5 linked regions of the Chlamydomonas reinhardtii genome follow. The main gene of each other region encodes a partner of the protein of the gene in region 4 in a complex. Links are inferred from orthologs where the notes say so. Each region holds a gene or a part of one and is shown on either strand. Other genes may lie near its edges.

Region 1 (4,089 bases), about 1.4 Mb from region 4:
GGGGCAACGGCTACGCACAGGGCACATGGGCGGGTGCCGTCAGCTCGCCGCACTACCCTTACGGTGGCGGCTACAGCCACCAGCTGCCCGCCTCGTCGCCGGTGGGCATGGGCACCGGCATGCTGCTACAGCCGCCCGCATCGCCGCGGCCGCCCGTGGGATCCCTCATGGCGGGCGGGCCGCCGCTGACGCATATGCGCAGCGCCCCGCCTCAGCCGCCGTCAGCTCCTGCCCCTGCGGGGCAGCAGCCGCAGCCGCAGTGGCACTCCACGCCGTCGGTTCCGTCTGGCGGCACGCACGTGGGACTGACGCCAGGATACGGTCAGCCGGTTGCGGGCAGCAGCCACTGGCCGGCCTACCTGCAGGCGATGGCTTCACCGCAGCACTACACGACGGCGGGGCCGCCGGCGCGCTCCTCGCCGCAGCCCTGGTCACACCCGCCATCCGCGCAGCTGCAAGGGCAGACACTCGGCCACTGGGCGGCTGCGCCGCCAGCATCCTACTACCCTCCGGCTGGCTACAGTGGGGACCCGCAGTTTGCTGCCAGCCCGGCGCATCAGACGCAGCAGCTGCAGCCGCAGCAGCAGCAGCCACTGCGTGCAAGTCTGGGGTCGGTGAGCGCGCTTGGCACGATGTCGTTCTACGCCTACCCAAGCCACACAGCCGCGCCGCCGTCGCCGCACGCCCATGCAGCCATGGGGTACCACCCAGCGCCAGGCCCGTATCAGCAGCTGCAGTCAGTTGCTCCGCACCAGCAGTCACCGAGCGCATGGCCTGCTGTCGCTCCCACTCCGGTGACACCAGCTGATACATACGCTTACAACGTCAGCCCGCAGAGCCCCACCTCGCACAAGCACACGTCGGGGCAAGCGTTTGCGCCCGACCAGCGCATGCCATACGCGCAGCACCTGCTCTACGCGTACGCGCGCTAGGCATGCCTCAAGCCATTCTCGTTGCAAGTGTGAACACAGCTTAAACTAATGCATGGACGCTTGTCCATTCTTGTGATCAATGCTAGTATAAAAGCTTGCCGAAGTCATCCTGTAAGCTGCTTGCACGTGTCTCTACGCCTCTACATCCCTCAATTCCCTGCTCAGACAGCTTAGCAACGCAGCACTCTGCCGTTGCCCTGTCAACAGCTAACACAAGCCTATGCGTAATCCCTACTCATTATCTCGTCATCATAAGCCAGTGCCGGCCAGGCTTTGCCCGACCAGCTGTAAATCGTCCAGCACCACAGCCGTCACCAACCAGCCCTAGCTTCAGCCGGCGGCCACTACCACACGCCACTGCGCGCCTCCAAAATGGTGTGTTGTGGAAACCCTCCCCACATACCCTTCACAACATCCTCCAGCACCAGCCAGATAGCTCACTCCCGTCGCCGCCTCAATCTCAGAAGCCGCGCTGTACCGTGCGCCCTGTCCGCTGTCGCTGTTCTCGTTTATGAGTTGCGCACGCCAATGGCCGCGTAACCGGACGACAGGAAGCTGTCCAGGAAGGGGCTGTTCGTGGTCACCTTCTTCACCGCGCGCTGCTTGGCGTAATAGGGCTCCACCACCTCCGTCACCTGTTGTGTAGCGGCGGTGTGTTGTATAACTTGTATGATTAATAGGAAAGCGCAAGGAAAATGGGGCCGACACCGTGCGTGCGAAGTATTGTTTGCCAACAAGAATCGCACCCAATACACGTGTATGTCAGAGTGGAGTGGGAGTGTGGGGGTGGTGCACCAGCGGCGGCGCTCCCACGGCTCAGGCTGCGCTGCCACTGCCCGCAACGCCCTGCGGGAGTGAGCTGCGCTGCCCATCCACCTAGCAACTACACGCCTGGCACCAGCGCCAGTCCCCAGCCGCCAGGGCGGGGCCCCGCTCACCACGTGGTGCCGCTGCTTGTGCATGAGCAGGTAGGTCTGCGCCGGGGGCGGGGCAGGGGCGGCAGTAGGCGGCGGTCCGCGGTCAGCACCACGGCGCCAGTCAGCACGAGCTATATCGGCACGCCCGATGTAGGCCCAGCACCCTGGCCACAGGGTTGGCAGAGAAGCCCCGGCATCTTGGCTCTCACCTCAATCTCCTCGCGGCCCTTGAAGATGAGCAGGTCCACCACCTGCACGCATTCGGGCGACAGCAAAGCCCCGTTCAGCATCAGCCCCACCTGCTCAAGACCGCTGCCCCAGCCCCAGCCCCAGCCCGCTGCGCCTTTACCAGTTTACCCCCCCCCCCCGCTCCGTCCCACCCCCCCACTCCGCTGTCCTCCCGCGTTCGGTTGCTGTGCATGCAACATGGGCGCGACCCACCCGCCCGTCCTTGACGTCCTTGTACTCCTTGAACTTCTCCTTAACGATGGCACGCAGCTCCTTCAGCGACACCATCTCCTCCATTTTGTGCAGCCGCTGAATGAACGGCAAGCACCGGCAAATCTGCGACGCAACCGGCAGTGCTTGTTGACTGCACGTCCTCGCTAAGGGTCTGGGCATGCCACTCTGCGAGACTCGGCGTGACATCCCCACGCCAGCAGCAGCAGCCCCGGGCATGGCTCCCATGGCATCGCAGCCCACCTCAAAGTAGAAATGCCGAGCAGCACCCCCGAACAGGCGCTTGTCCTGGTGCGCGACCTCCACTGCCTTCTGAGCAAGTCGGGACGACATGGCTACAGCTTCTTGAGCAAGTATGACCTAATCGTATGACCTAACGTTAAGTCGCGACACTCCTCAGGGCGGACTCCCTGGGTTGGCCTGCCAGGCAAACTCTCAATCGGCAAGGCCTACAGTCACAGCACCCAAGTGGGGAGCTCCAGCAGTCTTTGCAGTATAAAATGACTAGATGTCCGAGCCCTGCGCAAGCCCCAGCGCAATGTCCACTGTGCATGGGAATGGGGGCCCCAACCTTTGTGTTTAGTTTTGTTTGCCCAGACTGGAAAATTTACTATGCGTACTTAGAATGGCACGATGGAATACTGACCCTAGCGGGGCCAATACGGTCGTTGCGCCTGTGGTGCGCACACCGAAAGCTGCTCGTAGCGTAGGCCTCGATGCGCTCCTTACAGTGATCTCGGTTGCTGCATTAAATTCAAGGTCAGCGAATGACTGTCATATACACGGCGCTCAAACTAGCTCAAAGGACGGGTTCCCGCCATGGTGGCTGTCTCCACGGGCTTTCTTTTAAACAGCTTGCCCATTTTCTTATGCGCACAGATCTACACTCGTATCGCTTCTGCCAGTGCCATGGCTGCGCCTGGTTTTCCGTGAGTCGGGGTGGAGTGGAGCCGGTCGACACAGGGGGGGCGTCTGCAGGGTGGAAGGGGGATAGCACAGTTAGCGCGGGCCAGAGCTACTGGGAAGCATGCTGCGCCGGTGGGGGTTGTGACGGGTGAAGCGCATTGCACGTTGGCAGCAATACGTGGGTGGGGCACCACAGCGGGAGGGACACGCTCTATGCGGGGCTCACGCTTAAGAAACGCAGGGGTGAGGTTGTGTGCGGTGTCGCTCAAGGTAGTTCCTGTTTGGGCCGACATGCCCTTTCACCTGGTGCACAGAGCTGTTGCTGTGGCTGCTGCCGCTGGTGTTCAGCGGGCGAGCCCTGGACACGCTGGTCCGCTGGCGCAACTCCCAGGCAGCCGTGAGAGTGTGAGTGGCAACGTCAAGAGAGCGGCGGGGGTTGGGGCCTGGTCCATGCTTCCACGCTCCTTGCTAACCACGTAGCTTGTCCTGTCTTGTGGCCATCATGCATGCAGTCAGGATAACGTGACCGGCAACAAGCGGAAGCTGTACGGGCTTGCGCCCCCGCCGGCCAAGTAAGTATTCTGCCGTGCTGACAGTGTTGTTGCCTGGCTTGTCGCCATGTACTGCTGCATGCGTGCATGGTGCCACGCGGTCCCACCCTCCGACCAGTTGCGCGTGCAAGCATTATGCTCTTGCCTCATCTTGTACCCTGTAGGGTGGAGCCGCTCCGGCAGCGGAGGCCGTTCTCCCTCACCCCAGCGCGCGAAGGCGGCGCAGCCGGGGCGGCACTGCAGCGGCAGCTCACGCCCATCACGCCGCCGCAGGTGGGTGTGACCTCAGTCCGCCATGTTGCGAGCGGTGTCGCACGCGCACGT
Region 2 (4,195 bases), on a different chromosome or scaffold from region 4:
TGGGGGCAAACGGAACACAGGGAGCATGTCTGGTCGGTGTCATGGGCCGGCTCAGCAAGGCGCTAGATTGGTGTTGCGGGGCAGGCCAGCACGCGCTGGCGACCCATGGCTGCTACACCCTCTGGCCACGAGGGCAACGACCAGGACACCTCACAAACACAGGCATCCCAAAAGCCGCGCGCGCACACGCGCGCCGCCACGCCACGCACCCTCGGCCGGGAAGCTGCCGCCTGCTGCTCCTCCCGCCCCCAGCGCCACGTCCAAGAGCTCGTGTGACACCGCCTCCCACTGCCGACCTAGTGCCGTGGCTGCCGCGGCTGCCGACGTGGGTTCCAAGGCACAGCTACTCGTGCCTCCAGCGCCTCCGGCGCCGCCTGTGCCCCGTCCCGCCAGGATTAGCAGCACGGTGTCGTGCAGGGCGCGCCACATGGGGGCCGCCTGGGCAGGAGAGCAAGGGCAGGCAAGTTGCAGGATGGCGGATGCAAAGCCAGATACGAAGTACGTACCACAGGGCCATCGAACTTAGCCTGGCGGACAGTCTCCGGCTCCAGCACGGCCACTCCATACTGTCGCAAGACTTTACAGAGGCTGGTAATAGCCAAGCGCGCTGAATTGGGCGGCCCGAGCTGCTGCTGCTGCTGCTGCTGCGGAGCGCTTCGTGCCGAAGCCATGTCGCCGCAGATAACCCGTGTATTCTTGCGTGTTGAAACGTCAATGCTGGCGCACGTCCTGAACTACATTATGAAATGTTGTAGGACCACTGAAATGCCGTGACGGCCAAGCTGTCGCTGACCTTCAGTTGTGCAGGAGTTGGTGCAGGACGCTTCTCCTGTTAATCATTTTGATATTGCATGAAATAGCTTTTTTGTGGAATTCTATGCAGTTTGCAGTGATTGCACGCAGGCAGGGTTTTGGCCAACCTCGATGATGGAGAAAGGTATAGCGAACCCCGCGCACCCTATGGTAAACGAACACGCACCTTATATCAAGGAACGGAAGGGGCTACACTCTGGCGGAGGCACAGTTGACGCTAGGGTGCTCTGCAGACATCGGGGCGTGCCAGGGCGTGCCAGGACGGGTTCTGACTCCCCCTGCCGACTAGCTTGCACGCCCGAGCTGTGCCCCACCCCTCCTCGACCCCTAGCAAGCATTATGCCTCAGCCCACCACAGAACAGCAAGGTCACCCCGTGGAGAGGCCGGAGGAGGGGCCACGTCTATCAAGTGAGTTGCCGACCCGATTGCAACATGCCCTCAGTTATCTAAGCTGGTGTAAAATATCGAAGGATTTCTCCCACGTTGCGGCTCGCTAGAGCTACTGAGTGCAATTGAGGGGATGCATGAGGGCGAGTTACTCGATCGCACAGTGCACTCCTTTGTAACTACTCAACTGGCTACATTTACTTAGGCAGAGAGCGTAAATACTTGGGGCGCCTGTAAGAGGCGAGAGTTTGCTTTCCGCAGGCCCATAATCAAAGGCCGCATACTTCTTTTGAGCAGCTAGCCTGCCACCATGCAGCGCACCGGTGGTCTGGTTAGCCAGCTTGCGGGAGCGCAGCTGACTGGCGCGCTGCAGGAGCTGAAGACTGGGTAAGGGATACGCTCGGGAGGGCAGCACCCGAGTCCGGTTGCTCTTAAGGAGGCCAGCTACACACCCTGTTTCAGCAATCTTTTAGCATGTTTGCGAGGATAGTATTTAGGCACGCGAGTAGCTTGCCGGAACGCCGTGTGGCGCGAGACCCGGCCACGTTGCTGCTCCAGGGCTCGCTCTCGTCGTAGCAACTTTGCGCATGCGCGACAATAAAAATATGGACTAGTATGGGCTGGACGACTTGCATTGACGGCGCTCTGGCTGGTGCATGCAGGGTGCTTCTGGCCTTCAGCACTGCCGCTCCCGCGGCTGGTGCTCCCCCTCCGCCTCCTCCGCCTCCTGCTAAGACCAGCTTTGGTGGTCTGAAGGATGAGGACCGCATTTTCCAGAACATTTACGGTCGCCATGACCTCAGCATCAAGGTGCGAGGCGTGCCAGCATCCGTCGCTGGTCGCGGGATCCTTCAGTGGGCTCCGCGCAGTCTAGTCAGTGCTGGGGAGGCTGCTATGGAGCTCAGGCGCGGGCACAGAGGGGCCGCTGGCTGGCGCAGGGCTGGCCGTGCCACGTTGCGGGGGGGGGGGGGTCGGGCGTGGCAGGCCAGGTGTCAGGACGCAGCGGTGGACGTGTGTGTCCGTTCGAGACACGTGCTGGGGTGTTGGAGATGTCGCCCAGCCCAAAGCATACGCTAAGATGTGTAGCTGGATTAGACACTGGGAGAGCTGACGCCTGACGATGAGCGGGGCTGATTTTCTCAATACCCTCAGGGCGCCATGTCCCGTGGCGACTGGTACATGACCAAGGAGATCATCGGGAAGGGCCGGGACTGGATCATCGACCAAATGAAGAAGTCGGGACTGCGCGGCCGCGGCGGCGCCGGCTTCCCCTCCGGCCTCAAGTGGAGCTTCATGCCCAAGGTGTGTGTTCACGGGCAGGGATGGGCCAGGATTGGGGTGTGTGGGTGGCCGTGTTGGGATGGGGGCCAAGATGGGTGTCTGGGGCTGGTGGCGTGGTCACGGTGGGGTGCTGGCTGAGGGGGGTTTGTCCATTCCAGTCACATGTGGACGGGGCGGGAGCGTGGAAAGGTGGGGTGCTACGGCATGCTGCGGTGAATGGGGACATGCCCCCGTCTGCTGCCTGCGTCTCGCCCACGCCCGCCCGGGCCTGCCCCAACCCCCCCCCCCCAACCCGGCCTCCACCTCACCGCCCCAGGCCTCTGACGGCCGCCCCAGCTACCTGGTGGTGAACGGCGACGAGTCGGAGCCGGGCACGTGCAAAGACCGCGAGATCATGCGCCACGAGCCGCACAAGCTGGTGGAGGGCTGCCTCATGGCGGGAGTGGCCATGGGCGCGCGCGCAGGCTACATCTACATCCGGTGGGTTGGGTTTGGGGTGGGAGGGGACGCGCAGGGGCAGGGGCTGGGGAAGGGGAGGGGGCGGTGTGGCGCGGGTGTGGAGGACGCGGCTGGGCTGGGAGCGTGGGATGGGATGGGAAGGGGTGTAGGGATGGACGGGGGCAGGCAGAGCGGGATGGAGCACTTTTGCTGTGGATGGCATAATTGTTTCGATAGCTTGATAGCTGCACGTACTGACATCATCGTCACATCCCACTCATATGGCTTTCATTGTTGATGTCTGCAGTGGCGAGTTCGTGCAAGAGCGCCGCGCTGTGGAGCGCGCCATTAGCGAGGCGTACGCCAAGGTGCGCTGCAGGAGGTGGACTGGCTGGGTGGGGTGCTGCAGGAGGCGGACTGGCTGGGCGGGGTGCTGAAGGAGGCGGACTGGCTGGGTGGGGTGCTGAAGGAGGCGGCAGGGGTGTATGCACAGGGAGCAGGGGCAACGTGAAGGGGGGGGGGTGGCAGGGATGTCAGCTGGGTGCGGCCGGGGCGGCAGCACGGCGGGCCGATGCGGATGAGGACGGGCGCGAGGAGGAGCGGAAAGCATTTAAGCCGATGGCAGTTTATGCGGCCGGAGGCTCCTGCCTAGGATGGAAACGCAGGCTACAGTTTCAAGCGGGGCGCAAGCTCCGGGGGAGGGGCACGAGTAGCTGGAGTGCCTCGGCAAGCTGCAAACGGGCACTTGAACTCGGTCTGACGCTACGGCGTATATCTGGGGCATGTCCGCACCTGCTGACCCCGCCCCTGACTCCCTCCTCCCTCGTTGGGCTCGGGCATGTAACCCGCCTGTTCCTCGCGCTGCTCCTGCTCACCTCTCCTCAGGGCTTCCTGGGCAAGAACGCGTGCGGCAGCGGTGTGGACTTTGACCTGATGGTGCACTACGGCGCCGGCGCCTACATCTGCGGCGAGGAGACGGCGCTGATCGAGTCGCTGGAGGGTGAGGAGCAGCAGGGGGTGGAGACGCGATGGACGGGGAGGGTGGGGTGGGGTGGCGCTGGGGAAAGGGAGGGCCGGGCCCGGGGCGCAAACTGGGTGCAGGTTGTTTCACGCGGCGGGAAATTAGGGCCTTGGCGGGAGGTGGGGAGCTGACCGGCGAAGCATGGGGCAGGACGTGCGCGAGCGTTATTGATCTGCCGCAGGCTCGGTTGTGGTGGCTGTGGCTGTACTGTTTGTCAACCGCTATGTGTCTGTGTGGTGCACTCCGCCGCCGCC
Region 3 (4,203 bases), on a different chromosome or scaffold from region 4:
CGGTCAGTCAAGTTCTGCAGAGGTTCAAATGGCTTCGAGGCTGGTATTGCCGAGTGTCAACAACGTAAAACTTGATAGAGCCAAGTAGCTAAGCTATGGTATGATAGCAACGCCAGTCTGGGTGTGCATGGAGTCTTCCAGCCGAGGCCTGCACGATCGTGCAGTCCCCCCCTCCCCCCTTGGCGCCGTGGCGCAAGATGCCGCTTGGATTTACCCCTGACCCGACCGGCGCACACGAACAAGACTATGATATGACCCAAGCTGCATATGGGAATGCTGCAGGCCCAGACGCGCACCACCGTGCTCGCCCAGCCTCGCTGGCGTTCCAAGGCAATCGTTGTCGACGTGCGTTGCGGAACTAATGCGTACGTAGACCAGAGCGGAAAGGAAATCGTGTGGCCTCCATTCAAGTCGAAGCTTTTTCTGCAAGGCGTCAGCCCTGCGCCGCCATGCCCGTACAAAGTCGAAGCTTTTCCTGCAAGGCGGCAACCCTGCGCCGGCATGCCCGTACAAAGCTAGTCACATGTTCTTCCTGCTTGCGTCCACGCACGTATCCACATAAAGCCCCACACATACGTAAAAGCTCCTCACACATACCCCTCAAGTCCATTCTAAGCTAAATTCTAGTCAGACATAAGCCACTGCCCTTCTGCAAGAGCCACACCTCCTGCGGCACTCCGCCAATGTGGCACCTGAGCGCCCAGCGCACCCTGCCATCCGTAAGAGCTGCCGTCGCATACCGCCACCACGACCTCCACACCCACACCATGGACCATTTTGGCCCGCCCTCCGCCGCTCCAGACACGCTGCATCCCACAGCACGCCCGCACGCTTGCCATATCTTCCACCGCCACGAGCACGGCCGATTACGCGGTGGCGTTCAGGTCACGGCAGTAGGGCGCGCGGGGTGCCCCCGTCAGCGTGGTCTCGCCGTCCTTGGGCACCCACTTCTCGCCGCCGTGCACGGCGCCGGCGGGCTCCGCCTTCAAGCGGTACTGAGACCCAGGCTGCGATGAGGCAGGAAAAGGGGCAGCGAAGCGGTCGTTGGAGGGTTGCGGGTGTGCAGGGCAATGCACCCGGCCGCAATGCGACCCGTGTCGCGAGCCTCCATCCCCACAGTGCACGCACCGCAGACCTGTGCGGGCGCCCCGCGCTCATGCCCGGTTGCGGCCCCTCATCTCCCCCGCCCGCGCACCTTGGGCTTGCCTCCCTTCTTGATGGTGTCCAGGATGTTGACAATGTCCTTGGGCGTCAGGTCCTCGTAGTAGATGTACTCAAAGCCCGACACACCCTGCAGCCGTGCGGCAGCAGTGGTAGTTTAGATGCAAGCACACAAGGGGCGCGTTGGCAGCAGCGGTTTACGATAAGACTCGCGCACTGAATGGGCGGGGCAGGCCGGTTGTGCAATGACGGCCAGCCGACAAATCCTGGCTATAGCACGCGCCCAGCCGCTCCCACGCGCGACGTACACTACTCCATAAACCTAAACGAGCACATACCGTACTGCGCTGCAACCTCAGCCCCTAGCGTCGCTACCCCTCGCTATCCCGCACACCCAACACCCCGCACTCCCACGCGCTCCAACGCTCCTCCGCACCTTGGTGTAGTCGGCGATGGCCACCATGGGCGCGTTCACGCAAGCGCCCATGCACTCCATCTCGCCCAGTGTGAACAGCCCGTCCTGCGTGGTCTGGCCGATGCCGATGCCGAGGTGCTTGGTGATGGCCTCCTCAATCTTCTGGGAGCCCTGCAGCCTGTGTACGTGTGTGTGTTTAAGAATGAGAGGCGCAGATGGAGGGAAGCCCAGGTTCCGGGTGAGTGGGGTTGGGCGACGCGATGCGCATGTGCGTATGCAGTCGCGGGGGCTGGGCAAGGGCCCACTGGCACGGGCGTCCGGAGTCCAGCCGTGAAGGCCGAATATGGTTGGGGCCCCGGCATGCCAGCGCTCCGGCACGCCTGTGGATGGCGCTGCAGACCCCGCTGTTCGTAGGCGACACCGCACGCCCCGCGTGCCGGACGAACCCAGTCCCCGTGCTCTGTCTCCCTCCACGCCCGCCTTCCCTCCTCCCCCTTCACCTTCCTCGACGTGGCCCTGCACCGCCGCCGCTGTGCCCGGCTAACCCAGCAGCCCCTCCACTGGGAGGCGACACCCTTTGCTTACCTGCAAGGAGTGGTGCCGCAAATCTGCACGTGGTACTTGCCAATTTTCGTGCGGTTGAACATGGTGTAGAAGGTGGCCACTTCATACACGCGGATGGGCGCCATGTCCAGCAGCTTAGCCACACGGTTCATGGCCGCGAGGCTCAGCCACCCGCCGTTCTCCTGCTGCGTGACGTCCAGCACCGGAATGATGGCGCTCTGCTTGTAGTTCGGCGGGTACCGCGCGATGATATCGTTGACAACTTTCAGAGTAGCCTGCATGCACGGTGCGCACCAGGTCAAGCAGGTAGAGAGTGTTGGGCTGATGCACGCGTTTCCTTCTGTGTGTGCCTGACAGCCCTTCCACGCCTCTCTTTCGCTTGCCTCGCTAAACTCAAAGCTGGTCGCAGCATTGTTCTCTGGCGTGTCCTTGTGAATGTTGAAGATATCGGTCGAGTTGGTGGCAAAGTTGCACCGCTGCAGCAGCGAGCCTAGCGGCTGGACAGCGCGAGACGAGGTGCTAGCTGCCTGCTGCTGGCCAGTCGCGGCGAGGCGCCCTGCGAGGAGCAGGGCCCTAGACAGCATTTTGTCGCGAAATTGGTGCCTCTCCTGAGTCGCCTTGGCCGGCACTAGTCAAGCTCTTGCAAGCCCCTATGCACCTAGACTACGTTAACACACCTGTGCGACCTGGCGGCAAAGTGGCATCGTGGCACGACCGGTCGCCGGAATCGGCACGCCGTACCCGCGCGGCCACGGCCAGCCGCTTCTCACCCTCCCCCTTCCCCGCTATTGACGACAGCGGGGCAGTGCATTGCCACAATGGTGAAGAGTTCGAAAAGCATGATATCGGCACCAAGACAGGAGCGACATGTGTCGGCGTGCAGCGTGCGATGAGCAGGCGAAGCTGCGAAGGCCGGCAAGGGCCGTGTGCGGGGAGGTCCGGGGGGCGGATCCGCGCCCTGGAGGAGCAAACAAGGCGCCCTGCATCGCAGCATAGAGGAGCTGCGTCGGGCGCCCTGTTTGCTCCTCTAGTGCGCGGATCCGCCCTCTGACGTGAGGCGATAGGCGTGATAAGGGTAAGAAGTAAGAACGCGCCCTTGCAGGCAGGGACAGGCCGCGAGGGTTCCGTGGCAGTTCAGCGTGGATAACGCACGCATGTGCGGTCGGTCACTCAACCCGCTTGCTCAACAATCAACCCGCTGCAAGCGCAAGTCTTGATTCACGCGCGGAGGCGCGCGGTGACAGTGAATACTGACAGCTGACCTGTGCGCCAGCAGCGCTCGTCAGCGCTCGTCGACGGGGCGCTGCCGCTGGCGCTATCACCCCTTGAGACATTGTGTCGTATTGTCACAAGGTAAAAGGCAGGACTAAGAGGTATTTGCTCACGCACGACCAGCAAACGCTCGTCGGCCGGGTCGTGTCAGGTCGTGCGGAAGACCCGCGCCACTGTCAGAGCTCATCGTGACTATTACCTTTTCCTGTATTGCGAAGGTGGTTGCGTGCAGTGTCCTGTCCAGCACACGGTCCAAGGCCAAGGTTTGCTTGCGCAACTCTCGATCGCGCAGGTGTTAGCAAACTCAATCCCCCCCCTACACGTTCGATGCAACGTGTACAGTGGACACTCCTGGCTCAGCTTTCACTGCTGCGTATGTCCTTCACTCTGCCCGACGTCACGAAGCCCCCTGCCCATGTTCCCTTGCCACCTCATGCTTAAGAAGTGCTTCCCCTGCCAACACTGCAGCCAGTGCAGCGGCTGCCAACAGATTATCCCCCCCTGCACCCACTGCCAACCAAAACCCGAGCCCCCCCACCCCCCACCCCACACACATACACACACGTTCAAAGATGCGCAAGACTTCCAAAGCGCAAGTACACGCGTGAATCAACGGTTTATGTTACACGTTTGCCGAGTCGTGCTGCCCTCTAAAAGCAGGATGCGCTTGGTGCACCAGTGCCACGCACACAGTCATGTAGCCCAGGCTACAGCTGTGCCGCCATTTATGCGGCACCTGCTGCTCAATTTAAATGGCATACGGTAAACATGATTGTTTCTTTCAGCGACAC
Region 4 (3,943 bases):
CTGCCAGCATCACGCACTCCACCTCTACCTTCACCTGTGCCTCCCTCCGCTCCCTTTACCTCGCCCTCTCCACGCCCTTCCTTCGCGCCTGTCCAAACCACGCTCCTCCCCCCACCCTCGTATCGTGCGCCCCTCCCCCCCTCGCCCCCCCTTGCTTTCTTTGGGACTTGGATTCACCTATCCCGCTCCCCTGCCCCTCGCCCTCCCCAAGCACCCACCCACCTTGAGCTCCCAGCTGCGCGCCGTGAAGGCGTAAGGCTTGGAGGTGAGCGCGCCCACGGGGCACAGGTCCACCACGTTGCCGCTCAGCTCCGAGCCCATCAGCTTCTCCACGTACGTGCCGATCTCGCTGTCGCGGCCGCGCCCCGTCACGCCCAGCTCCGCCGTGCCCGCCACCTCGCTGGCGAAGCGCACGCAGCTGCACGCATCGGGGTTGCCGGACAAGGAAAGGGGCGGTTGGGGAATGGCGAAAGGTGGGCAGCAGAGGTACTTCCAGTCGGGACTTCGTCCCAGCCCTGGATCCCGCCCTGCGCTTTTAAATGCTTTTGCGGCGGCACATGCTGCTACTCCAAGCTGCCTCCCACGCTTTGCCTAGTGAGCGCCAGTGCATGGTCTTTGTAGACCGCGAACGCAGGGGTGCACGCATCGCAAGGTCAGGGCGCCGGGACCGTTTGTAACCATGTCGCTGATGCCCCATCCCTCCTTCCCCCTCCCCCGCTGCTGCTGCCCAACCCTTTCCCCTCATTGCTCATCCAGCCGCTGCCTGCGTTTCCACTTTCCTACCCTTGCCTCCCTTCCCCATCCCCGTTGCCCCCACTGCTCATCAACCCCCTCCATCGCCCCCCAAACTCTTTGCCTTGTGCCTCCCCCGTGTCCCTCCCCCGTGTGCCTCCTCCCCCCTGTGCCGCCCCCGCCGCCCTACCGCGTGCAGTGGATGCAGCGGTTCATGACCGTCTTGACCAGCGGGCCCAGGTTCTTGTCCTCCACCGCGCGCTTGGCCTCCACGAAGCGCGAGCGGTCGCTGCCGAAGATCATGGCCTGGTCCTGCAGGTCGCACTCGCCGCCCTGGTCGCAGATGGGGCAGTCCAGCGGGTGGTTGATCTGCACGGCAAAGGGCGGGGCGGGGGCGGGTGTGGCTGAGAGCGTGGGCAGTGGCGGGGGGACTACGGGGTGGGTACGGCACAGGATTGCGGCTTCGAGGGTGAGGCAAATTCCAGCTGCACGCGAACGGGCTGAGCTGGAGCTGACCGGAGAGGCCGGGCAAGCTGCCGCCGGAGTTGGCCAACGTAATTCCGCCAATGCCACCCTGAAGTCACGGGTTGCATTACCCCGCATGGCGCCAACCCTTCCGGCTCTGGCCCGACCCCCGCTGTCAGCTGGCTGGGGCAGTCCGCTACGAGTCCACCGCCAGTGTTGGGGGCCTCAAGTCCGAGCGATGACGGCAGCGGTGCAGCCCAGCCCCTGCCATTTGTGCAGCGTGTGCTGCGTGCTGGCTTGCCCCGGGCCTGCGCCACGGTAGTGGCCTGCTCTTGCGCCTCCCTACGGCTCCTGGCAACGTTGCCGTGCCAGGCTGGGGCTGCAGCCCATGCCACCCTGCTGCTTCGCCGGATACCAGCCGGCCCAGAGCTCCATGCGCCTCTCTTCAAGCCCGAGCAGTCTCCACAGCAATATGCTCGGCCGCGCCAGCGCCAGTCCCGTCCGCCTCCGGCGAGCCGCTCCAACCTGACCTGATGGGTCCGGGGCCAACACCCTCCACCCCCAGGCTGCACTCTCTCCACGCTGCCCCTGCCTGCATGCCTCGCCGCGCACCACCCACCAGCAGAAACTCCATCACGCCCTCGCGCGCCTTCTTCACCATCGGCGTCTCCGTCTTAATCTTCATGCCCGGGCCCGCGGGCATCGCGCAGGATGCCACGGGCTTGGGGACCTTCTCAACCTGTGCACGCAGCCACCAACCCCCATGCAATCGGGTCAGCGGCCTGCTCTATACTTTAAGCCCAATTTGCGGCATCAAGCACTCCAGGTACGCACCTCCACGAGGCACATCCGGCAGTTGCCCGCAATCGAGAGGCGCTGGTGGTAGCAGAAGCTGAAAAGGGGGCCAGAGATGTATTAGGTGTGCACAGAAAATCATTTGGCATTTCTGCACTGCCCCTGCGCTCTGCACCCTACCGTGGAATGTCGATACCGGCCGCATCGCACGCCTGCAGCACCGAAGAGCCCTTCGGTATCTTAACAGGCTGCTCGTTGACAAAAACCTCCAGGTGGTCCGAAGGCGGAGGCGGGGGAGGCGGGGGCGGGGGAGGCCCCGACAGAGCGCCCACGCTAGTGCTGATGCTGCGTGCAAACTCCTGCGCGCCTGGCCATAGCCCTGTTAGGGGCTGGGCCAGCGTCAAGGCCCTCCGAGCGGACATGTCTGGGCTTGAGTAAAGAAGAAAGCGAGCTCAGACTGAACAAAAGAAATAGCGCAAGGCGCGGCTTTGCGCCACCCTGTAATGCCTAGCTCTTCGCGTCAACGTAATCAAAGCAACAGGACATGTGGAAGCATTCGAGCTTGCAGAGTCGCGACTCCCTCGTGCACGCATGCAATGGATGATTTTGTATCGCCCTCGTCGCCCGTTCCCCGTTTTGCCTGCCAAATGCCTATTGTTGCTACAAATTTCTTCACTTAGTCAGCGAGCAAGCGAAATTGCCGGGGTCGCGTTGTGCCACGGCTGCTGACACGTTGCCAACCCTGTTTACCCCCGCGCAAAGGGCGCGGATCCCCGAAGCCGCTTGCTCATGTCCTGCCCCTGTAGCCTGACGTAGCGGCGGTAGCGCCATGGAGTGCTAGCATCCGGCCTTGGAGAGCTCATTGGTCACGTGGACCTTACACGTGCTTGCCGTCAAAGAGCTGCACATCTTCTTGCCGTGTACCGCCTGAAGGCATACCGGCTCTTCCTCGCTTCGAGTCCCTGCTGCCCAAAGCCCTGACGTTCTGCCAGGGCCCCTGTGCGATAATGTTAAGAAGGTTGGGCTCAAGCACAGTGTCATCCAACACCCATTGCAGGTCGATGCTTGGGCTGGGTGCAATTTGTTTCTTGGGACTCTGCTATATCAGCCACTTTGCCCTGTCCCATTGCAACCACTGCACGTTGGACTACGCCAACCTGCCCCTTGCCATGTCCCATCGCACCCTTATCGCACCCGTTGCATACCACGCCTGCTTGTAACACCGTCACCTAGGACATGCAGCGCAAACCTCACGGCCCATCGTCACCTAGCTTGCAGCTAGGATGCGCTCGTTCCCTAGGATGCCTGGCACTCACGGTCCCCTGTGCTCCTAATATCTTACCACCTGGCTATGCAGTTCCGTGCAGGGCAGGTTCCCCCAGGTTTCGTGCATCTGCATCCCTCACCCACTCCTAACTCCTTCACATGCACTTGGTAGTCCGGGCACCGTCCTAATACGATAATCACTGGCCCTTTGGCGGCGCCACGGCGAGTCGCACACATGTCATCACAATAAGGTAAAACAAACGTCAACGCGTCCGTAGCCTGCCCCTGAACCCTCCACCGCACACAGCACCTGGCTCTGTACCGTGTATGCAGGTAAGCCCGATTGGACTTAACGCTGCAGAGCGTCTGTGTATGTCGCCAAGATCTCCCGCTCCTGCGGGTTCGCCGTGGCGGGCGGGGCCAGTGCAGGTGCGCCAGGGCTGGCAATCGCACCCGGCGCCGCCGCTGCCGTGGCCGCCAGGGCCGGGCTCGAGGCGCCGCCGTGGATGAGCGGCGGCAACTTATTCTTGGAGCGTGGGTTGGGCGCCAAGCCCACGGCCGGCGGTGGCGGCATGGGCACACTGCTGGCGGCAGGCGCATCGCTGTTGTTCGAGGGCATGGTATCCGCGCCAGTGAGCCCCACCGGCGGCGTGCCCATGGGCGGCAGCCGGCCGGGTGCGCGGCC
Region 5 (4,297 bases), on a different chromosome or scaffold from region 4:
AAGACCGTGCTGCACAAGCTCGGCGTCAAGCAGGCATTCGGAGGTAGCGCCGACTTCAGCCGCCTCAGCGACACCAAGATGTTTGTCAGCGACGTCGTTCACAAGGTAAGGGCGCGCATGGATGCATCGATGGTACGGTATGCATGGTGCCAGGATGGCGATAGAGTGTGTGCGGGCGGGGGGCAGCCGATGCAGCATGGGGCCCTGGGCGAGCCCATGGTCCTTCAGCCCTCTCTCTGGTCACCAGATTGAAGGGTAGCCTGCCTGCATCTTCCCTGGCGCTCCTCTCCTGGCACGGACTCGTCAACCACCGAACGAACGTCCCCTGTGCCAAACGAACGTTGCCTTTGCCTGTTGCTGCTGCGCAGGCCGTGGTGGAGGTGGACGAGGAGGGCACGGTGGCGGCCGCCGCCACCGCCGTCATGATGCTGCGCTGTGCGCTGCCGATGCCCACGCCCGAGTTCATTTTCAACCGCCCCTTCGCCTTCATCATCATGCACACCCCCACCGGCCTGCCCGCGTTCGTGGGCACCGTGAACGACCCCAGCCAGTGAGCAGCGGCGCAGGAGGAGGCTGGGTGGTCAGCGCACAACAAGCCGGGAGGCTGCCGTACATGTTGCTAAGTGTTGACAGGGGCATTTGAGTTAACTGGGTGTGCATTTGTTGACGTAATGTTGACGTGAGGCGTTGGCGGGAGCATGGTTATGTTTGTTGGGACTGCTGGAGACGTGACACACCTTGGTAGCAGGGCCATGCGGGCATGTCTGTGTTTTTGTTTCTGTGGTGCGTGCTTGTCTGTGCTGTAGATAAGTGAGGCTCGTGTAGGTACCGTGCACGTTTACATTTTGTTAGCACAACGCATCGTGCCGTCGTTTTGAATAAGAATAGCATGCACGCTCTACACCGCCCGGCCGGACACGCCTGCACACATGCGCCGTTGGCCCAGCCCGAGCCCTCGGGGACTTGGGGTTGCTATTATACCTATTTGCTTAAGTACTACGGACCACTCATCGAAAGGTTAACCCGCAAAGGTGGTGCTAAATTCCAAAGTGGCGTACACTCGAACCTCGGAAGCCAGACTCAAATCTGTAACAGCCCGCCTCGCCTTGCAACTTGCAAGCTCCATCTGCCCTTTCACGTGATAAGCCACGGCACGTAGCGCGCCGGATATTTTGCATCGCTCCACATTCAGCTGCTGATACATCACTGCCGGCCACAACTGGCAGCGGCGCGTGTCAAAGGGATCGGCCGTCGATGGCCCAGCATTCCACGCAGCACCCTGCCGCACTTAAAGCTGGGCCCTGAAGGCGGCCTGTCGCCCAAGATCTTCGCCACTGCGCGCTTACTCGCCGGACCTGCATCGCAGCGCGACATGAGCACAGCAAGGCGCCACACCGCAGATTAGGGACGGTCGCCACGTGCAGTACAGCGCAACGAGATCAATTAGCTGTAGCTGGTGCTCGTGCCGCCACCTGGCATGTAAAAGCATGGAAGAGCTGCTTGAATGCGTTCACGCGAATGGTCGCGTGAATGCGCCCCAGCAATAGCTCCGCGCGTGACGACCCCCTGAGCTCAGGCCAGGCGACCCGCGTCCACGCTCCCTGCACCCAGGGCGCTGCTGGCTCCCGTCAAGGACGGACCGCCGGCCTTACGTCACGTTCTGTGCGTTGTGCAGTCGGTTGAGGGTTCTGCCCGCGCCACCCAGGGAGGCGCTTACAGGGAGGCGCCGGCAAAACCCTCACCCTGTCACACAACACCCAGAGCACGATTCATGGACGGCGGTCCATCCTTACCCAAGCACATCTAGGCCGCTGCGCTGCGTCCATCACCGGATCCACCGCCCAGCGCCCTATGCAGCGAGCTGCACCCCGCCTCTCCTGTGCTGTTCCGCCCCGCCTCTTCCGTTCCCCACCCCACCCCTCCGTCTCCCATGACTTGCCGCCGCCTCCCGCTCCCCTCCGACCCCGCCTGGTCCACCCCACTTCACACTGCGCGCGCCCCCCACTTCACACCGCGCCCGCAGGCCCCCACCCACTTGGGCATAGACTGGCCCGCCAGGATGAGCTGCTCCAGCTGCTGCTGCACCGCCCCCGTCGTGGCGCCCTGTACGTTGACCGACTTCTCAGCGCCGAAGTCTGCGTATGTGTATGTGTGCCGGGGGGCAGGGGGGCAGGCGGACGTTAGGTGGGGTTGCAAACCGTGTGCGGCCGTAAGCCAAGGTTGCTAGAGGTCGCCCCTCGCGGCGTGTATGCAGCAGGTGGGGCCTGCTCCAGGTCCCGCTGATGGATGCGTTGGTCGCGCCAGCCCCCTGACACGAGACAGCGACTCCCCCCTAACCCTGGGCTCACCGTAGCGCGCTGTGAGCGACGCCTCGGTGCCCGCGCACTCGCGGATGAGGATGGGGAAGTGCGGGTTCGCCTTCTTCATCTCCGCATAGTTAGCAACGATGAAGTCCCTGCGCGAGTGCGTGCAGCATCCGGCGTGAGGACATTTGCTCACCGGAGCACGCCTTCCCGCTCACTTACCGAACACCCTTGCTCCCCGCCGAAGTCTGGCACAGGTGAATCCTGCGATTAGAAAGCGCGCAGGCTCAGTCTTCTAGTTCCGAGAAGGCGCAATCAGCGCAGAGCTGGTCCTGGGCTAAGATAGCCGCACCTAAGCTCCTGCATGCTCTTGGAAAGAGAGTTGCGCCAAGCCATGGTGCTCAGTAAGCCGCTAGGGGCCGAACAACGCAAAACCCTGCCAAGAGCCTTCTCCCACGCTTGGGCCCTTCGGTAGCGTTTATCTTGCTATTCTATAGTTTGTGCACTTCCGTCCGGTGGTGCACCCGCAGCACTAAACCAAATCGCCCCACCGGCCCCATGCAGCATTTCCGTCTGTGCTCTTTGTTATGCTGGCCTAGCCCCAAGTCAAAAATGATTAGCAAACAATAACTCAAAGGACTGCCTTGCACATCACCGTGAATCATTTAGCACAACCCTTCGCCTGCCGCCTCCACAGAACTGACGCGCTGAGCCGAATTCGCGTTTCTGCCAAGCTCAGACCTTACATCTTACTCGCTAAAAGCTTACAAGAATGGGGAAAATGAAGAAGACCCGGAAATTTGCCGAGGTGAAGCGGATGCTGAACCCAAAGGACGCAGAGTAAGTCGCGCAGTCGCGGCGGCCCCCCGTCCCCAGCTGAGCCAGCGTCACGGCCTGACGTCACGCTTCATTGCAGACCGCCGGCCAAGCGTCAGAAGACGGAGAAGAAGGAGGACGAGGTCCGCCACGTGTGAGTGCAGCAGCGGCGCTCTGCCCTAGCACGCTGGCCACAGCCAAAACCCTGAGCGTCAATCGTTGGGCATGCTCTCACACATCATGCTGCTCCCGACTTGTCACCTCCCTGTTGCTGCCCACGTGGTGCTGCAGTGAGAAGGTGTCGTCGGCGCTGTTCTTCCGCTACAACACGCAGCTGGGGCCGCCGTATCAGGTGCTGGTGGACACCAACTTTATCAACTTCTCCATCAAGAACAAGGTGCGCTGGGGCTGGGGCAGAACACCAAGGGTCTAGCGAGCACTATGCTAGTCTGCGTGCCCGGTTGAAGCGTTGGCAGGGGCCGGGCGAGGGCCGGTCGCGGCAGCGGCGAAGGAAACACGTCGCAGTATTGCTGGGGCGCCGTCTCAGCACCTAGCAGCCTGTCTCGTCCCTCTTGCCACCACCTGCAGCAACCCGCACAGCGCGGCACAGCATACTTCACATATACCGTAGCCATTCTGCTGCCGCCTCCCTCCCAACCCACATCGCAAACTCCGCCTCCCCCACTCCCTCCCTCCCCTGACCCAGATCGACCTGGTCCGCGGCATGGTGGACTGCCTGTACGCCGAGTGCAAGCCCTGCATCACCGACTGCGTGCTGGCGGAGCTGGAGAAGCTGGGCCAGAAGTACCGCGTGGCGCTCAAGGTGGCCAAGGTGAGAGGCGGATGGGAGCGCTGGGGGGAGGGCGTGGTGGTGGAAGTGGGTGGTGGAGGGGCGGTAGGGGTCCGTTAACTCCAAGCGCAATGAACGGAGTGTGTGTGTGTGGGGGGCAGAGAGCCGCGGGGTTGTGGGGCGCGCGGGTTAGCACGTCATGTTTGCAAGGCAGCTGAACGCGCCGGGGAGCTGGAGAGCTGGAGGGGGCGGCTGGCAGAGTCTGGTTTGTGTCGTGGTGCGGCGGTGCGAGGACGGGCGGGGATGGGTGGGGACGTGAGGGACAGGCGGCAGGCGGCGTGTCTCTGTCAGCAGGTGGTGTATCACTGCAGCCAGACAGGGTGGAGCT

What was found.
Region 1: the proteins of CHLRE_12g535950v5 (region 4) and CHLRE_12g555250v5 are in contact, whole or in part, in a cryo-EM structure (PDB 8BED), measured with the Arabidopsis thaliana proteins. The link is inferred for Chlamydomonas reinhardtii from reciprocal best matches to the Arabidopsis thaliana genes EMB1467 and AT3G12260. Residues at the interface, in NP_568550.1 of Arabidopsis thaliana: Trp361, Arg362, Leu365, Ser621, Pro645, Thr646, Ala650, Arg651, Asp652, Trp654, Lys655, Ile656, Arg658, Ala659, Glu662, Val663, Asn671; in NP_566416.1 of Arabidopsis thaliana: Lys120, Thr121, Phe123, Leu124, Phe127, Tyr128, Thr129, Ser130, Asn131, Tyr132, Phe133.
Region 2: the proteins of CHLRE_12g535950v5 (region 4) and CHLRE_10g422600v5 are in contact, whole or in part, in a cryo-EM structure (PDB 7AQR), measured with the Arabidopsis thaliana proteins. The link is inferred for Chlamydomonas reinhardtii from reciprocal best matches to the Arabidopsis thaliana genes EMB1467 and CI51. Residues at the interface, in NP_568550.1 of Arabidopsis thaliana: Gly115, Asn116, Cys117, Arg118, Leu121, Lys129, Pro130, Ala135, Met136, Pro137, Lys153, Ala154, Glu156, Gly157, Val158, Glu160, Phe161, Leu162, Met164, Asn165, Arg194, Phe195, Glu197, Met198, Arg200, Ile219, Gln220, Ile239, Gly241, Arg242; in NP_196470.1 of Arabidopsis thaliana: Gly225, Ala226, Gln243, Lys245, Leu248, Pro250, His399, Glu400, Ser401, Cys402, Gly403, Gln404, Cys405, Thr406, Pro407, Arg409, Glu410, Gly411, Trp414, Met417, Ile418, Arg421, Met434, Glu437, Val438, Lys440, Gln441, Ile442, Gly444, His445.
Region 3: the proteins of CHLRE_12g535950v5 (region 4) and CHLRE_10g450400v5 are in contact, whole or in part, in a cryo-EM structure (PDB 8BED), measured with the Arabidopsis thaliana proteins. The link is inferred for Chlamydomonas reinhardtii from reciprocal best matches to the Arabidopsis thaliana genes EMB1467 and AT4G02580. Residues at the interface, in NP_568550.1 of Arabidopsis thaliana: Val203, Lys205, Val225, Ser229, Gln235, Asp236, Leu237, Gly238, Ile239, Leu240, Gly241, Arg242, Gly245, Glu246, Glu247, Gly249, Thr250, Tyr251, Val252, Glu253; in NP_567244.1 of Arabidopsis thaliana: Asn33, Tyr34, His35, Leu36, Val90, Met93, Ala103, Ile105, Arg106, Tyr108, Glu109, Thr112, Phe113, Tyr114, Ser115, Arg119.
Region 5: the proteins of CHLRE_12g535950v5 (region 4) and CHLRE_16g679500v5 are in contact, whole or in part, in a cryo-EM structure (PDB 8BED), measured with the Arabidopsis thaliana proteins. The link is inferred for Chlamydomonas reinhardtii from reciprocal best matches to the Arabidopsis thaliana genes EMB1467 and AT5G47890. Residues at the interface, in NP_568550.1 of Arabidopsis thaliana: Lys397, Asn401, Arg402, Met403, Gly404, Asp406, Asp418, Ala419, Asp420, Leu421, Arg422, Tyr425, Leu563, Asp564, Gly566, Gln570, Arg679, Lys681, Ser682, Val683, Pro685, Asn686, His689, Glu692, Glu694, Pro695, Ala696, Ala697, Phe698, Ser701; in NP_199600.1 of Arabidopsis thaliana: Lys12, Glu13, Arg15, Leu17, Leu18, Gln20, Arg29, Val32, Glu33, Tyr36, Lys37, Lys40, Ser41, Lys45, Leu46, Pro47, Ile48, Leu49, Ile50, Arg51, Glu52, Cys53, Ser54, Val56, Trp61, Arg63, Met66, Gly67, Glu69.

Annotation. Positions count from the first base shown.
Region 1 is NC_057015.1:7,575,549-7,579,637, forward strand, and holds CHLRE_12g555250v5 (uncharacterized protein), read right to left. Parts: upstream 2,803-4,089; 5' UTR 2,642-2,802; coding exon 2,552-2,641; intron 2,414-2,551; coding exon 2,291-2,413; intron 2,101-2,290; coding exon 2,059-2,100; intron 1,907-2,058; coding exon 1,871-1,906; intron 1,568-1,870; coding exon 1,442-1,567; 3' UTR 247-1,441; downstream 1-246. Other genes in the region: CHLRE_12g555300v5 (uncharacterized protein), read left to right, coding at 77-189; CHLRE_12g555200v5 (uncharacterized protein), read left to right, coding at 2,934-3,067, 3,188-3,237, 3,529-3,619, 3,727-3,786, 3,930-4,038. UniProt on the Arabidopsis thaliana protein: Accessory subunit of the mitochondrial membrane respiratory chain NADH dehydrogenase (Complex I), that is believed to be not involved in catalysis. Complex I functions in the transfer of electrons from NADH to the respiratory chain.
Region 2 is NC_057013.1:718,700-722,894, reverse strand, and holds the start of CHLRE_10g422600v5 (uncharacterized protein), read left to right. Parts: upstream 1-1,395; 5' UTR 1,396-1,511; coding exon 1,512-1,588; intron 1,589-1,863; coding exon 1,864-2,011; intron 2,012-2,353; coding exon 2,354-2,503; intron 2,504-2,798; coding exon 2,799-2,962; intron 2,963-3,227; coding exon 3,228-3,288; intron 3,289-3,805; coding exon 3,806-3,920; intron 3,921-4,195. Other genes in the region: CHLRE_10g422650v5 (uncharacterized protein), read right to left, coding at 210-438, 507-671. UniProt on the Arabidopsis thaliana protein: Core subunit of the mitochondrial membrane respiratory chain NADH dehydrogenase (Complex I) that is believed to belong to the minimal assembly required for catalysis. Complex I functions in the transfer of electrons from NADH to the respiratory chain.
Region 3 is NC_057013.1:4,251,229-4,255,431, forward strand, and holds CHLRE_10g450400v5 (uncharacterized protein), read right to left. Parts: upstream 2,803-4,203; 5' UTR 2,725-2,802; coding exon 2,524-2,724; intron 2,416-2,523; coding exon 2,162-2,415; intron 1,755-2,161; coding exon 1,598-1,754; intron 1,292-1,597; coding exon 1,196-1,291; intron 1,008-1,195; coding exon 867-1,007; 3' UTR 248-866; downstream 1-247. UniProt on the Arabidopsis thaliana protein: Core subunit of the mitochondrial membrane respiratory chain NADH dehydrogenase (Complex I) that is believed to belong to the minimal assembly required for catalysis. Complex I functions in the transfer of electrons from NADH to the respiratory chain.
Region 4 is NC_057015.1:6,125,583-6,129,525, forward strand, and holds the start of CHLRE_12g535950v5 (uncharacterized protein), read right to left. Parts: upstream 2,804-3,943; 5' UTR 2,415-2,803; coding exon 2,173-2,414; intron 2,090-2,172; coding exon 2,032-2,089; intron 1,937-2,031; coding exon 1,817-1,936; intron 1,102-1,816; coding exon 923-1,101; intron 419-922; coding exon 223-418; intron 1-222. Other genes in the region: CHLRE_12g536000v5 (uncharacterized protein), read right to left, coding at 3,608-3,943.
Region 5 is NC_057019.1:5,636,774-5,641,070, forward strand, and holds CHLRE_16g679500v5 (uncharacterized protein), read right to left. Parts: upstream 2,804-4,297; 5' UTR 2,700-2,803; coding exon 2,656-2,699; intron 2,568-2,655; coding exon 2,526-2,567; intron 2,456-2,525; coding exon 2,349-2,455; intron 2,136-2,348; coding exon 2,036-2,135; intron 1,356-2,035; coding exon 1,343-1,355; 3' UTR 288-1,342; downstream 1-287. Other genes in the region: CHLRE_16g679550v5 (uncharacterized protein), read left to right, coding at 1-105, 248-259; CHLRE_16g679450v5 (uncharacterized protein), read left to right, coding at 3,076-3,143, 3,220-3,273, 3,411-3,516, 3,826-3,951. UniProt on the Arabidopsis thaliana protein: Accessory subunit of the mitochondrial membrane respiratory chain NADH dehydrogenase (Complex I), that is believed not to be involved in catalysis. Complex I functions in the transfer of electrons from NADH to the respiratory chain.